Notamacropus eugenii: one gene and its partner. The protein of the gene in region 1 purifies or fractionates together with the protein of each later gene. This does not show direct contact. Links are inferred from orthologs where the notes say so. Each region holds a gene or a part of one and is shown on either strand. Other genes may lie near its edges.

Region 1 (6,555 bases):
AGAATAAACAACTTCTGAGAGATTTGAGTTAGTGTTGTGATTTTGCACCTAAGAATTTGTACTCTAATTCTGGTTAAATTTTAAACAAAGAAAAATAAAACATTAATCAAGTTAAATATAGAAAATCATAAAGTTAGGATAAGTCACTCAACAATCAACACCTGTGTTAGTTCCTATTCCAAGAAGCAAAAATCCAAATTCCCTCAACCACAGAGAGAAATCGAACCACCACAAAATACCTAAAAGTGAATGCTTGTAGAACTACAAATTACAAACATGACCCCAAAAGATAATAGAAAATACCTTCCTCTACTACTTTGCGGAGGTGGGAGCTTCCCCCAGTTTGTAACTTTGCATATATTTTCAGATTTTTACAAAGTAATGTGCTTTGCTGGCTTTTTTTCTCCTCTACTTCCTTTTGTTAATATAAATCTATTATTTATGGAATGGTTCACTGGGAGGATGGATATTAGAAGGAATTTAGGTAACAAAAAAAGACATCAATGAAATGAATTTTTAAAAAGAAAATAGACAAAGATCTAACAAAAACAAGAAATTTTATTTTATAAATGTAAATCTTAAGGTGTCTCAAATATATGTGTGTAAACATACACATATACGTGTCTATATACGTACGTATGTATAAATATTCTCCCTCACCGCATCCCACCTCTGCCAATTCCGACTAAAGGTCTGCTATGTTTAGGAGGAATAGCCAAAGGAAGAGCTTGCACTTGAGTTTTACACCCCCTTCCCCCCCCCCCCCCCGCCCCCGCTCCAGTGCAGTAGGGATGTTCCCAGAGGCCCTTTTGGGGGAGGGGGGAAGGAATCCTCCTTAGGGGTCCAGGGAAATGGAGCCCAGGGCTTGGGTCACAGCCTGCTCGCCCTCCTTCTCGGGCTGGGCAGCTGCCTGCTCCTGGGCATCCGGCAGAGCCCCGGGCTGCAGTGTGCCCCGGCCCAGACCCCCAGACTTCTTGAGTTTGCAGGCCTCTTGGTAGGGCGGCCGGATGGGGGGCTGGGCCGGCGGCGTGTACCGGTACTCGGGGCTCCCCTCCAGCTGCAGGGGGTAGGTGCGGTCCGCGTCATAGGCACTGAGGTCCCCGCAGGCCAGGAAGGGTACGATGAGCCGTGTGGGGCCCTCGAGCTGGTTGAAGTCGCCCTGGTAGCTGTGGTCCAGCAGGGGGTTCAGCATGCTGGGCACGTAGCCGGCCGGGAGCGTAAAGCCCCGGCACACGGCGAAGGCCTCGATGCTCGAGTTGCGGCTGCTCCTGGGCTTGGCACACACCACGTCGGGGAAGAAGAGGCGCAGCTGCGAGTAGAGCAGGGTGACGTCCCGGCCGCGGAAGATCTTGGCCACGAAGTTGCCGCCGGGCTTCAGGACGTGGATGGCGATGTTGAGGGCGGCCAGGAGGAGCTGCGCCTGGATGTACTCGTCGATGTCGTGCAGACCGGTGACGTCGGGGGCGCCGTCACACACCACCAGGTCCGCCGGCTGCCCCTCGAAGTGCCCGATGATCTCCTGCGCCGTGGACACCTTGGTGATGTCCCCCTGGATCTGCACCACCCCGGGCAAGGGCGCCATGGCCTGCAGGTCCACGGCCACGATGCAGGCCGGCGACCCGGAGCCTCCGAGCTTGCGGCTCAGCACCTGGCTCCAGCTCCCGGGGGCGGCGCACAGATCCACGGCCCGCCTCACGCCGCTGAAGAGCTGGAACTCCTCGTCCAGCTGCAGCAGCTTGAAGGCGCTGCGGGCCCGCCAGCCCTCCTCCTTAGCCAGCCGGTAATAGACATCGCGCTTGTCCTTGGACGTGCGCCCCATGGCGGACCGAGGGGACAAGTGCCCCAAGTCCCGACACGGACCGGGCAGTGGCCGGCCTGCGCAGGTCAAAACGGAAGTAGATACTTCCGCCGGCAGAGTCGCGAGTCACGCACCGCTGTGCGTGGTCACGCCAGAACGTGATTACGTCACTCACCCGACGGTGCCCTGTAAGGGAAGAGGCGGGAAGAGGGAGGGAAGACGAGGCGTCATGGCGCTTGCAATGTTGTGATTGGTACAGAAACCGTGGAGGCGGAGTGTAAGCCAAGATTCCAAGTATATACTTCCGTCTTCACCTTGCTCTTTATCGGGCTTATAACTGTCTGCAGAAGCCCCCATTCTGGGAGCAGTGGCAGCAGTTTCTGTGAAGAATGCCATCTCTCCTTCCGAGCCTATCCCGAATGTATTCGGTCTCCATCTTGTCCTAGTGTTGCCTCCCCCGTCAGACCGTGAGCTCTCCGACAGCCGGGACCTTATACCCAGCGCCTAGCCGAGTGCTTGGTCCAGAACGCGCACTGACAAGCCGGCAGGTGCCCAGGTTTGCACCATGGCCTCCCTACCTGCAGGCCTGGTCCGGGCTCGTGTCTGCTGCATCTGAAGGATTTGAGGACCAGGCGAGGCCGAATCCGGAGCCTAAGAAGTCCCGCCACGAGCGAGGCGACCCGGCCTTGGGCATCGCAACACAAGCCCCATCTCCTGTGAAAATCAAGTAGAAGGAATCAGTGCCCTCATCTCCAGCCTGGGGGGAAAATGTCCCCTGGATCTGCCTTGAGCACATGAAAGACATTCCATTCAGCATTTGAGTCCTGTGTAGTAGTGAGTGGTCATATGTGAAAATAGTTCTTATCTGAGTTTAGTTTGGAATTTTTTTCCATTGGGGGGAAAAATGCAGTTTAAACTGTATAATTTGCTGCTGTGAAGGAATTGAAAGAGTATATATATGTATATATATACATATATATGAATATATATACATACATATGTAGTGTTGTCTGTTGCATATTTCTGATGAGATAACAGAATAAGGAGAAAGAACATTTTCTCATCTATAGGTGGGGGAGAAGGGAGGAAAAAAAAGCTATAAGTCAATCTGGTTTTAAATTTTAAAACTTTTTATTTTATTATAGATTTGCATTTATTAAGTGCTTACTGTGTGCCAGGCACTGTGCTAAGCATTGGGAATACAAGTAGAAGAAAGCAACACAGTCATTGTAGCAAAGTATAATCGATGTGTTGTACAGTGAAACTATTAAGTTCGCATGATCTGACTGTTATATGGTCATTCTTTAAATCTTACTCAAAATTATTTTATACACACACACACACACACAGCCCACCTCACACGACATTTCTATGGATCTAAGCCTTCAGAGAAGAATCACTACCCTGTAGCTTAACTACACTCAAATTCAGTTGTGGATGAAATATGCACACTAGTCACTACTTAAAACCTTTCACAAATCCCCCTAGTTAGCCCTAATATGTTTTCTCTGAAATTTCCTCCAAAATATCCTGTATACAGCATGTCCCAAAAGACTTAGTGCAGTTCTAAAGCTTTACTAGCTTATTTGCACATAGTTCTTTGCATTCATATTGATGCTCCTTTAAAGCAGGGGTTGTTTTTAGCTTTCTTTTATATTCCTGCCACAAAGTAATCTTTTAATACTCTCAAGTCTACTCTAATGTGGGCAAATCCATACACAGCGATTACAATTAGGTCTTAAATATAACCACTTACTTAAAAATAAGGTGAAAGAAATAATAATGTCACAGGTACTTACAAGACAAATGAGAAATAAAAAAGTTAATATCTATGATGTAAAAAGAGCAAGTTCAACTAAAATAATAATTAAACAGATCAACATTCTTCATTTATAATATCCACATTGTCTCATATGGTTGATGTACTAGACGTATGTATCTTTTATTCCATCAATTTCATCTCACACCATTAGTTTTCTTATGAGATTGCCATACTTCTGGCTGCTTTTTAGTTTGGATAGCATAAGCTCTCACAGCCCTCATAATCATAACATTACTATAAACTCTAGAGCCTTCTTGGGCTAGATGATGGCACATTACCTAATATTTTATAATTTTGCCAGCTCTGGCTGACTCAGAAGCAGAATGTCTGTTCTCAGATGGCACAGTCATGTCAATAACAGTGGCAGGAGGCAGTGAGGTGCTATTTGATCTAGAATTATTAGGTCAGATCAAAGTGCTTCCCCTAGTCCAAGAACAATTAGATTCTCCTTAATCCCAGTAGCCTTTGGCAATCATATCTCCTTCACGAATGTTTAGAATGGCATTTTGCCAAAAATTACTAAAAAATTACTAAACTCTGCATGCTCTTTGACCCAGCCTTGTAACACCAACGTGATACCTATGGCAGCTGCTATGAATATACACACATATCTCCATGAATGGTTCACAAAATATAGCAAACTCCCTTTTTACAAGATAAAATTAAAATATGTGGTACACTGCTATTAGGATACCAGAAGCCAAGATTTAGTAAGGTACTCATCACCAATTCAGGCAGCACCAACATTACAAACAAGTTCTCCTAGGCAAGTTCATTCCTCTGCCTGCTTCTCTCTCTGCCCACACCTTTCCTTCCAAGCAATACAATATATATTGTTTCCAATCAAAGACTTGGCACTTGATTGGCTTAGTGAAGCTTGGAAATCAGCACTTAATTGGGGAAGGGTGGGAATACCTGTGACCCAGAGTCTAATTGGCTCTGCACCAGGGCTCTAATGAGAGAGAAAGATCTTATATCCCATTAACCTAACAGGCCTACAACTCAATGAGATGGAAGAAAGTGGGAAAGGTTCTATACATACAAAAATACTTGCAACAGCTACCTTTTTGTGGTGGCAAACAATAAAAACTTAAAACTAAGGGGATGACTGTCAATTGACAAATGGCTGAATAAACTGTGATACACAAATATAATTGAATAATACTATTTGCTCTAAGAAATGAGGAATAAGATGGTTTAAGAAAAGAAACAAGAAATGACTTTTATAATGTACTAATGCAGAGTGAGTGAGCAAAACCAGAACAATTTATATAATAGCATCAGTATTATAAAAAGGAATAATTTGGAAAGACTTAAGAACTAAGAGCAATCAAATGATAAACCATGATTCCAGAAGACTAATAAAGGAGAACACTGCCCAGCTTATGACAAAAAAATGATGGACTAATGTGCAGAAGAAGAAATACATTTTATATGACCAATGAAGTAATATATTTTGCTTGACTGTACTTATGTGATAGAAGAATTCTTGCATTCTTGTGGGTAGGAGAAAAAAATAAATGCGTGATAGTTGAATAAGATCTATTTTTTAATCACATTGTGGGTACACTTTCATGGGTAAGGTGCTGCTATTCCTATATTCAAACCACCCAACAGAGAATATTCTTGGTACCAGTTTCTTTTGTGGAAAATGGGCAAAGAGCAGAAAAAGGATCCTGACTATAGGGGATTACTATGGCAACAGGGAAGATCAAAACACAAACTCAGAAGATAACGAAGTCAAAACTGCTGCATTAGAAGCCTCAAAGATAAAATATGAATTGACCCCAGGCCATTGAAGAACTCAAAAAGGATTTAAAAAATCAAGTGAGAGAAGTAGAGGAAAAGTTGGGAAGACAAATGAAAGTGAAGCAAAAAAAAATGAGAGTGATACATGTAAAAAATAGTCAATAGCTTGCAGAAAAGACACAAAAAATACTGAAGAAAATAACACCTTAAAAACAGAATAGACCAAGAGATAAAAGAGGCTCAAAAATCGTGTGAAGAGAAGAATGCCTTGAAAAATAGAACTGGTCAAATGGGGAAAAAACAAAAGAGGTATGAAAGTCCACTGAAGAAAAGAATTCCTTAAAAAGTGGAACTGACCAAATGGAAAAGGAGGTACCAAAGCTCAATGAAGAAAATAATTCCTTAAGAATTAGATTCAGGCAAGTGGAAGCTAATGACTTTATGAAACAACAAAAAACAATAAAACAAAATCAAAGAATAAAAAAAAATAGAACATGTGAAATATCTCATTGGAAAAAGAACTGACCTGGAAAAAAATCCAGGAGAGATAATTTAAGAATTATTGGACTCCCTGAAAGCCATGATGAAAAAAAGGAGCCTAAACATCCATCTTCCAAGAAATTATGAAAGAAAACTGCCTTGATATTCTAGAACCAGAAAATAAAATAGAAATCAAAAGAATCACCTCTTGAAAGAGATTCCAAAATGAAAACTCCCAGGAATATTATACCCAAACTTCAAAACTCCCTGGTTAAGGAGAAACAATTGCAAGCAGCCAAAAAGAAACAATTCCAATATCTTGGAACCACAGTCAGAATAACATAAGATTTAGCAGTTTCTACAATGAAGAGTATGAGAGCTTGAAATATGGTATTCCAGAGGGCAAAAGAGCAAGGATTACAACCAGCAAAGTAAAGTATAATTCTTCAAAGGGAAAAATGGACATTCAGTGAAGTAGAAGACTTTCAAGCATTTCTGATAGAGCTGAAAAGAAAATTTGACTTTCAGATAAAATACTCAGGAGAAGCACAAAAAGGTAAATAGGAAAGATAAATCATAAGGGATTCAATAGATTTAAACTATTTATGTTCCTACATGAGAAAATAATACTTGTAAAAACTTAAAAATTTTCTCATCATTAGGGCACTTAGGAGTATACATAGACAGAGGGCACAGGTATGAGTTG
Region 2 (7,595 bases), on another chromosome or scaffold:
CTATTTCACCAATGTAATTCCATACGATGCAAGCTGAATCCTCTCCAATGCTAATGATATAGTTGTCCAGGAGCTGGACAGACCACACCCTGGACTGGTGACCATAACATACCAGGATACACTGAGCCGAGCTGTGAGGGGCCCTCAGGTCCCCCACTCTCCAGACCCGAATGCTCCGGTCGTCAGAAGCCGAGGCTAGAAGACCTTTGCTCTCCAGATGGCAGATGCTGAAGATGACCCCACTGTGCCCACTTATCCTTCTCTCTACTCTGACTGTTCCTTCCTCATTGGTGAAATCAGCTGGGCGCCAAATCACAAGCTGGTTAAAGACAGTTCCAGCCACCAGCACCAGCTCCTGCCAGTCCTTCCCTACCAGGCAAGCAGAATAGATAATACACACCTCGTCACACTGTACCTCTTGCAAGGCCTGCTGATGCATGTAGTCATAAAGGACCACTGAGTTGTGTCCCAGGGCGAGGGCCAGGGCAGAAGTGGCTTTTCCAGGGTCCTGAAGCCAGTGAAGGTCCCAGATCCAGTCATGAAGCTCACAGAGCTGGGAGAGCCACGTCAGCTTCACTGCTCCCTCCCCCCAGCTCAATGTCAGCACACGGAGGCCTTTGCTTCCAAAGACAGCCAAGGTTGTTGCTGAGGCCTGGGGAGACGCTGGGCTCTGAAGTTCCCTGATGCCATGGATGTGATAATGACAGAGGACACTTGGCACAAACTGGGTTGCTATAAGCTGCCCACCAGTTTCCAAACAATAGATTAGTAAGTTGGGCCCTTCACCTGGACAGCAAAAAAGTAAAATAAAATCAAGGTTACCAACACATACATTCAGAATAAGATGAAGTCCCTGTAAATATGACCTTAGAGGAAATGTGGGGTTCAAGTAGCAAGTGACCTGGGGTTCTGAAACCAGGTCCTCTGCCTCCAAGCCGCCACTGGCCAAGAGTGTATGACCATGATTCTCTTGCCTCCCTGTCCTATTGGGACTCAGGCCTGGCCAAGCCCCAATCCTGGATTACTTCCACCATCTGCATCCTTCACTCCTATTCACGGGCTCCTGAACAAAACTGCTGATGAGGCCTACTGCTACAACAGAAGCCAGGCAGACACTCTTGGTCCAGGACTGACTCTCACCCACTGTCCACAGTTGCGTTTCCAAACTTCCTCATCTCTCCAAGGCCTTAACTTAGTCCACCCTCCCCATTCCCATGGAGGCTTGCCTTTTTCTTTCCTCATCTTCTATCACTCAGCCATCTCCTCTTATCCCAGCCTCAGGTGAAGAGGTGGCATCTCTAATTGCCAAGACAAGCCCTTGATCCCATTCCCTCCCTGTGACTTGTCCCTGCTATCATTCCCAGCCCTCCTCTTCAAGCTTTCCCTATCTACTGGCTCTTTTCCTGCTGCCCCAGCCTTGAAGAATGCTTGATCCAAGTGCCCCCTCTCGCTAACATTTATACATTTCCTCATCGTGGCTAAGCTTGAGAAAGGAGTCTACAATCAGTGCCTCTCTTCACTCTTCAAGACCCTTTGTAAATTGACTTCTGACTTCATTCAACTAAAACTGCCCTTTCTATAGTCACGAATAATCTCTTGATTACCAAATTTAAAAGCCTTTTCTCAGCTGCCAAGATGATTCTTCCAATCACATCACCTCTCAATCAATCAACATGCATTTTTTAAGGGCCTCCTGAAGGCTAGATACCGTGCTAAGCGCTGGGGATATAAAGAGGCAAAAGACAGCCCCTGCCCTCAAGGGGATTGCAATTTAACAGCTTCTCTATTCAATTAGCTCCAAGTTCTGGGTCCAAAGGAAAGAGTCTTTGTGTGATCCTGAGCAGGTCACTTTCTGGGCCTTAGCTATCCTCCTCATCTTCCAGACAAAGTACTAGGTGTACCAGTCCCTATTGCCACCGGGATCAAAGAGAAACTCCAGCTGGCATGTAAGCCTTCCTAACGTCTGGACCCTTCTTACCTTTGATGCCCTTCCACATACTCAGTCACACTGACCTACTTCAGGTCCGCAACATGGCATCCCAGACGTCTGTGCTTTTCCATTCGCGGAGGGCTCCTGCCCTCTCACCTCTGCCTCAGTTTCCCTGATTTTCTCCCAATCCCGCCTTTCCCAGCCTTCCTGGCTGCGTGGGGGGGGCTGTCTGTCTCGTGCGCACCCCGTAATGGGCCGGCCGTCCCCTTCTTCAGAACGCGCGCGGCTTCACGGCATTGCACGGCCTGTGCCCTCCTCTGCGTGCCCACCGTTTGGCACAGTAAACGCCCAACGATGCTTGGCGTGGGCCTGGCAGCGCCTGACTCCGGGCACAAACAGCCCGATGTGTGCGGGGCCAAGGGCATCGCGGAGCCACGGGACCCTGGTGGCCCGTCGGGCAGCCTTCCCCGAGGCGGCTGGATTTCTGCCAGGAGCCCAACGCCCCGTTTTACCCCGCGAGGAGCTGCCTCGCCAGGCTCGGGGCTGCCCTGCTCTGCCCCTCGGTCTGGGGGCGCTCTGGGCACGGGAGTCTCAGCTCCTTCTGGCCCCCAACGTTACTATCGCTTACGTGCCCAGGAAGCCAGGGGCCGCAAACGGGCAGACCCGCCGGGGGGCCAACTAAGGGCGGGAGGGGCCGCCCCCGGCCCAGGTCCCCGTGCGCGCCCCTGGCCTACCCCTGCCTCAGTTTCCCGTCGGACCCAGGCTGCTCCCACAGCCTCGTGGGCCGAAGGGCGAGCTCGGCTCCGCGTGCCGCCCACGGAGGGAGAGGTCCTCGGCTTCCCGGGGCCCGCAGCGCGACGCGGCCCGGGGGTCCGGCCCGAACCCCCTTACCTGCCACAACGCGGTCCCCCACAAAGCGCAGGGCAGTGACCGGCGCCAGCAGCAGCAGCGACTCCGCCTTCCCCGCAGGAGGCGCCATGGCCCTGGCCGAGGCTCGGAGGCCGGCACGCCGCACGCACGCCGCACGCACGCCGCCCGGCACGCACGCATGCACGCACGCCGGGGCCACGCGGGCCCGAGGCGGCATCGCAGCCAATGGAGGGGCCCGTCGCTGGCCGCCTTCCCGGCCCGAAGCTCCCGACGCCGGCCGTCATTGGCCCGTTTCATCGGTCTTGCGAGCGATTGGAGCAGTCAGTGGGAGGCCGTCCTACCAGGCGACCAATGGGCCTTCCCCCCGCCACGTGACTCTGGACGCTGGGTACCTGGGAAGCGCCGCCCTACGCCCCCTACCCGGTCTGCTGCCAGGCCCCTTCCGCCGCCGGGCGGCCCGTGGCTCACGGTGCCCCTCGTTCCGCCAGCCCCGCAGGAAGTCCGGGCCGCTCGAAGCTTTCCCTTTTTACGTGGCCGTTTTGGAAGGCCGTGGGGTCCGCACGCAGCAGCACACCGAGTGGCGCAGGACGGGGGGCTGCAGCCCTGGGCGGCCCGCAGACCTGCCCAGGCCGGGCACTCCGAGGGTCCGGACCCCCCGGGGTGGGGGCAGGGCACGCAGCCCAGGCGGTCCCTCCCCCCGCCGAGCCTGGCAGTGGCCTCCCGAGTGTGGAGGACCCGAGTCTCTGGTCCAGCCCTCCTGAAGGACGCGTGTGTGGGGGTGCAGGAGCGTGCTTGTACCAGTCACCAGTGGCACGGGCAGGATGAGACGCAGCCGCGGTGACAGACCTGGCAAGGACCCGGCAGGGGCAGCGAGGGTCCCGACCTCAGAGGGCACGGGCACAGTGCCTTTTCTGAACGAGCCTAGTAGGCAGCCAGCGCCTCTGAAACCGCGGACGGGCCCCCCGCTGCCTGCACAGAACTCGGGTTCAAACGAAAAAGCAAACAGAACGCTTCATTCCGTAAAACTGTTACTATTGCACTTTAAAAGTTTCCCTTTTCCCCCAATAATTTATACTTCGGCATGAATAAAGCCTGTTTTCCCCTGAGAAGAAACCATTGCTACGCGCCCTCGTCCCGCTGCAGGTAAGGCTCCTGGTCCTGGCTCGTTCATCAGCACGAGGTGACCTTGGCCAGGTCACTGCTTCCTCAGCCTGGGGTCCGAGAGGGCCAGACGAACTCATCTCCAAGGTCCTATTCCGCTCCGCCATGATTGTCTCTCTCCCACATGAACCCTGAGCACCAGGAAGTCTGGCTTTGAGGGCTGCATTATCCTTACAGTGGGAAGACCTGAACACCCACCTTGGCCATCGGAACAGTGTGACAACAAAAACAAAAAGGAGCATTTCACTCAGGGATCCAGGTTCCTAGAGAAACTTAGGAATTAGCCAGTATTCTCCCACCCACACCTCCCCAAATCCCTGCCCTAGAACTCTTAAGCACCAAATCAGCTTTTTCTTTTTCCTGGTGACAGTGACATTTCTACAAATAATTTAAGGGCTTAAATTTTCCTCAACTATAGGGCAAGAAGGTGAGGATCAGATGCTGGCCTGTTTCCCTTCTTACAGACACACCAAGGACTTAAGGCAGACTTGAAGCTTTTCCCCATTTGTCGAACAGGAAGCTGCTGCCCTCAAAATGAACCGCTTTCTTCCCCAGCCACAGCCTGGGTTTGTACCGGGGAGCTACAAACTACTAGGAGATTTCTATGGAAATATGGGAACAAACGACCACACCCCCAGAGAAGGCTCCAGAAGCCACAGGGAGGTGAACCCATGAGGTGAACTCATTTGGACTCCCAGTAAATTCATTCTTTGAAAATCCTTTCAGGCCTTTTTTTCCTGGAAAAATTCCATGGACACAGGGCTGTAGGGCTCCTGTGGGTGCTCATGGCTGCCACATTTTCTCACTAATTCAACATTCGTATGAAAACCCCAAGCCTCATAGCTCAGATATCATCTCAGAGCCTTCCTGGCTGAAAAGGCAAAGAACAGATCAGCTTTCTGTTAAAGCAAATAGTGTACCAAGGCTGCCATGATGTCACTGAATGGGCTGCTCCAGCTTGGCCTGTGGCTGTCTCTGACCCCACCCCCACCATCAGAGCTCTACATGCACATTCTTGTAAGATTTGTCCACTGTCCACTCAGGCTGGGCCTCAAGCTCCTCCTGGCCATAACGGGCCATTTCCTGATGGAACCGGATCTGGCGACTCTTGCTGGGGTCTACATTGATCCAGTTATTAGCTATCCATTTGGTTCCCTGGGTGACCAGACAGCCACCATGCAACGAATATTCATCCAATTCTCCTACCCAACCTGGAGAAAGAGGGAGAGAGATCAAACAATGAGCCACCCAGCAGAAAACAGAGCTTGGATAGGGAAGAGCTCATGACATTAATGATGCATCAGAGCCATTTCGAGAAAGGACCAGGATCCAGAGCTTGTCTAGGCTCTCAAAGTAAAAGAGATCTGAGCCACATACAAATGCATGTACCTCTTTCAGTTACACAAGACTTCATGGCTTCTTGTCTTTCTAAATATGACCTCAGTTTTTGTCTTCAGCCCTTGTCCCTCTTCTGAGCTCCAAAACACTCCCAACTTCCCAACAGGCCAACCCTACCTGGATATTTCACTGGTGCCTCAAATTCAACATGCCCCAAACGGAGCTGATCTTTTCCTCCAAACGACCACCTCCACTGGGGAACCTCCAGTCAGTCTCACATTCATAACCTGGTGCCGTTACCTTCTCTTTCCTCTTCCCTGCTCCTTCCATATTCAGTCACTTAAAAGCATCCCGTCTTTTCCACCTCTCCAGCATTCCTTGCCTCCATTCTATTGCACTTTTTATGAACTGATTTGCCCCATTTGTAAGACAGCAACAGCTGTCTTCTTTTTTTACTACTATTATTTTTACCTCCTGTACTTAGCAAAGTGTCTGGGATATGGTAAGTGCTTCATAAATGCTTGTTGCTTGGTAGCCTGTACCTGAGCATAAGGCCTCTGCTGTTGCTCAGTCCTGTCTGACACTCTGTGACCCCATGGACCGATACTGTCCAGGGGTTTTCTTAGCGATGATACTGAAGGGGTTTGTCATTTTCTTCTCCAGTGGATTAAGGCAAACAGAGCTTAAGTGACTTGACCAGGGTCACTCAGCTAGTAAGTATCTGAGGTCACATTTGAACTCAGGTCTTCCTGACTCCAGGATCAGTGCTCTATTCACCAAACCACCTAACCATTCACTTTTACAATTACTGGACTGAGTGAAGATCAAATGTCTTTGCTCAGTACCCAAGGTCCTAAATCTGCTGCTGCCCTACATTTCCAAACTTATCTCATATTACCACCTCCCTGACCTGCCAAATGTCTTGTTCCTTGTTCATGATATTTCTGATACCCTACCCCAACCTATTCTAATAGCCCCTCTTCCAGTCTTATATGAGGACTAGTTTACCTGAATTCCTATCCATCCTTTAAATCCAAATTCAAATGTCATCGCTTCCATGAAGCTTGCCCTGATCTCTATAGTATTTCTCCAATGGTGCTGAAAAGAACCCTAAAATGCTCCAAGCTTTTTTTTTTAAATGGACATACATCTTTTGTTAATTGGCATTAAAAATAATCAGTTTATATGCTCAAAGGGCTACAAAAATGTGCATACCCTTCGACCCAGCAACATTGTTTCTAGGACTGTATCCCCAAGAGATCATAAAAACGGGAAAGGGCCCCACATGTACAAGAATACTTATAGCAGCTCTCTTTGTGGTGGCCAAAAACTGGAAATCAAGGAGATGCCCATCCACTGGGGAATGGCTGAATAAATTGTGGTATATGAAAATAATGGAATACTATTGTACTATAAGAAATGATGAACAAGAAGACTTCAGAGAGGCCTGGCAAGACTTATATGAACTGATGCTGAGTGAAAGGAGCAGAGCCAGGAGAACTTTGTGCACAACAACTACCACGGTGCGTGAACTTCACAGCAATGGTCTTCTAAGGCAAAATGCCTTCCACATCCAGAGAAAGAACTATGGAATTCAATTGCAGAATGTAGCAGATCATCTGTGTGTGTGTGGTGTGTGTGTGCGTGCGTGTGTGCATGCACATTGCGTTTTGGTTTGTTAGATGATATCTCCCACTCATTATAATTCTTCAACATAGCATGACTGAGGTGAAAATGTATTTAATAGGAATATATGTATAGAACCTATACAAAACTGCATGCTGTCTTGGGGAGGGAGGGGGAAGGTAGGGAGGAGGGAGGGGGAAGGTAGGGAGGAGGGAGGGAAAATAATAATCTAAGTTATATGGTAGTTATTGTAGAACACTGAAAATAAATAAAATTAGTTAATAAAAAAGATGAAATACAATAAATAATCTAAAAATTAAAAAAAAAAACAGTAAAAAAATAATCAGTTCAGAGGATTTTATGTCAAGGCTTCTGCCAAAGTTTTCTTTAGAAACTGAAGGATCCTCCCACTGTGGAAGAGTTTGAGGACTACTTCCCTACAGTGTGTATTACAGTCATTTATTGATCACATTCCCCCTATGAGTTACAAGGGCAATGGCCATGTCTTACACATTTTTTTAAGACTGGGTCTCCCTATCTTGTCCAGAGTGAAAGCACAGCAGCCACTCATGGGCCCAATCCCCAGACTGACTGGTACAGAAGTTGTTAATCCCACTGCCTCTCAAAATCCCTGAACTCAAGGAATCCACCAGTTTCAGCCTCCTCAAGG

The links.
Region 2: the proteins of FTSJ1 (region 1) and WDR6 purify together in Homo sapiens (affinity purification with mass spectrometry; 3 studies listed by BioGRID and IntAct, with this or other methods). This does not show direct contact. The link is inferred for Notamacropus eugenii from reciprocal best matches to the Homo sapiens genes FTSJ1 and WDR6.

What each region holds. Positions count from the first base shown.
Region 1 is NC_092876.1:91,476,907-91,483,461, reverse strand, and holds FTSJ1 (tRNA (cytidine(32)/guanosine(34)-2'-O)-methyltransferase), read right to left. Parts: upstream 1,963-6,555; 5' UTR 1,820-1,962; coding exon 836-1,819; 3' UTR 541-835; downstream 1-540. UniProt on the Homo sapiens protein: Methylates the 2'-O-ribose of nucleotides at positions 32 and 34 of the tRNA anticodon loop of substrate tRNAs. Requisite for faithful cytoplasmic translation.
Region 2 is NC_092872.1:7,374,131-7,381,725, forward strand, and holds the start of WDR6 (tRNA (34-2'-O)-methyltransferase regulator WDR6), read right to left. Parts: upstream 3,052-7,595; 5' UTR 3,018-3,051; coding exon 2,822-3,017; intron 2,210-2,821; exon of another isoform or gene 2,039-2,209; coding exon of another isoform or gene 2,014-2,038; exon of another isoform or gene 1,998-2,013; coding exon of another isoform or gene 1,979-1,997; intron 787-1,978; coding exon 1-786. Other genes in the region: P4HTM (transmembrane prolyl 4-hydroxylase), read right to left, coding at 4,955-5,172. UniProt on the Homo sapiens protein: Together with methyltransferase FTSJ1, methylates the 2'-O-ribose of nucleotides at position 34 of the tRNA anticodon loop of substrate tRNAs. Required for the correct positioning of the substrate tRNA for methylation.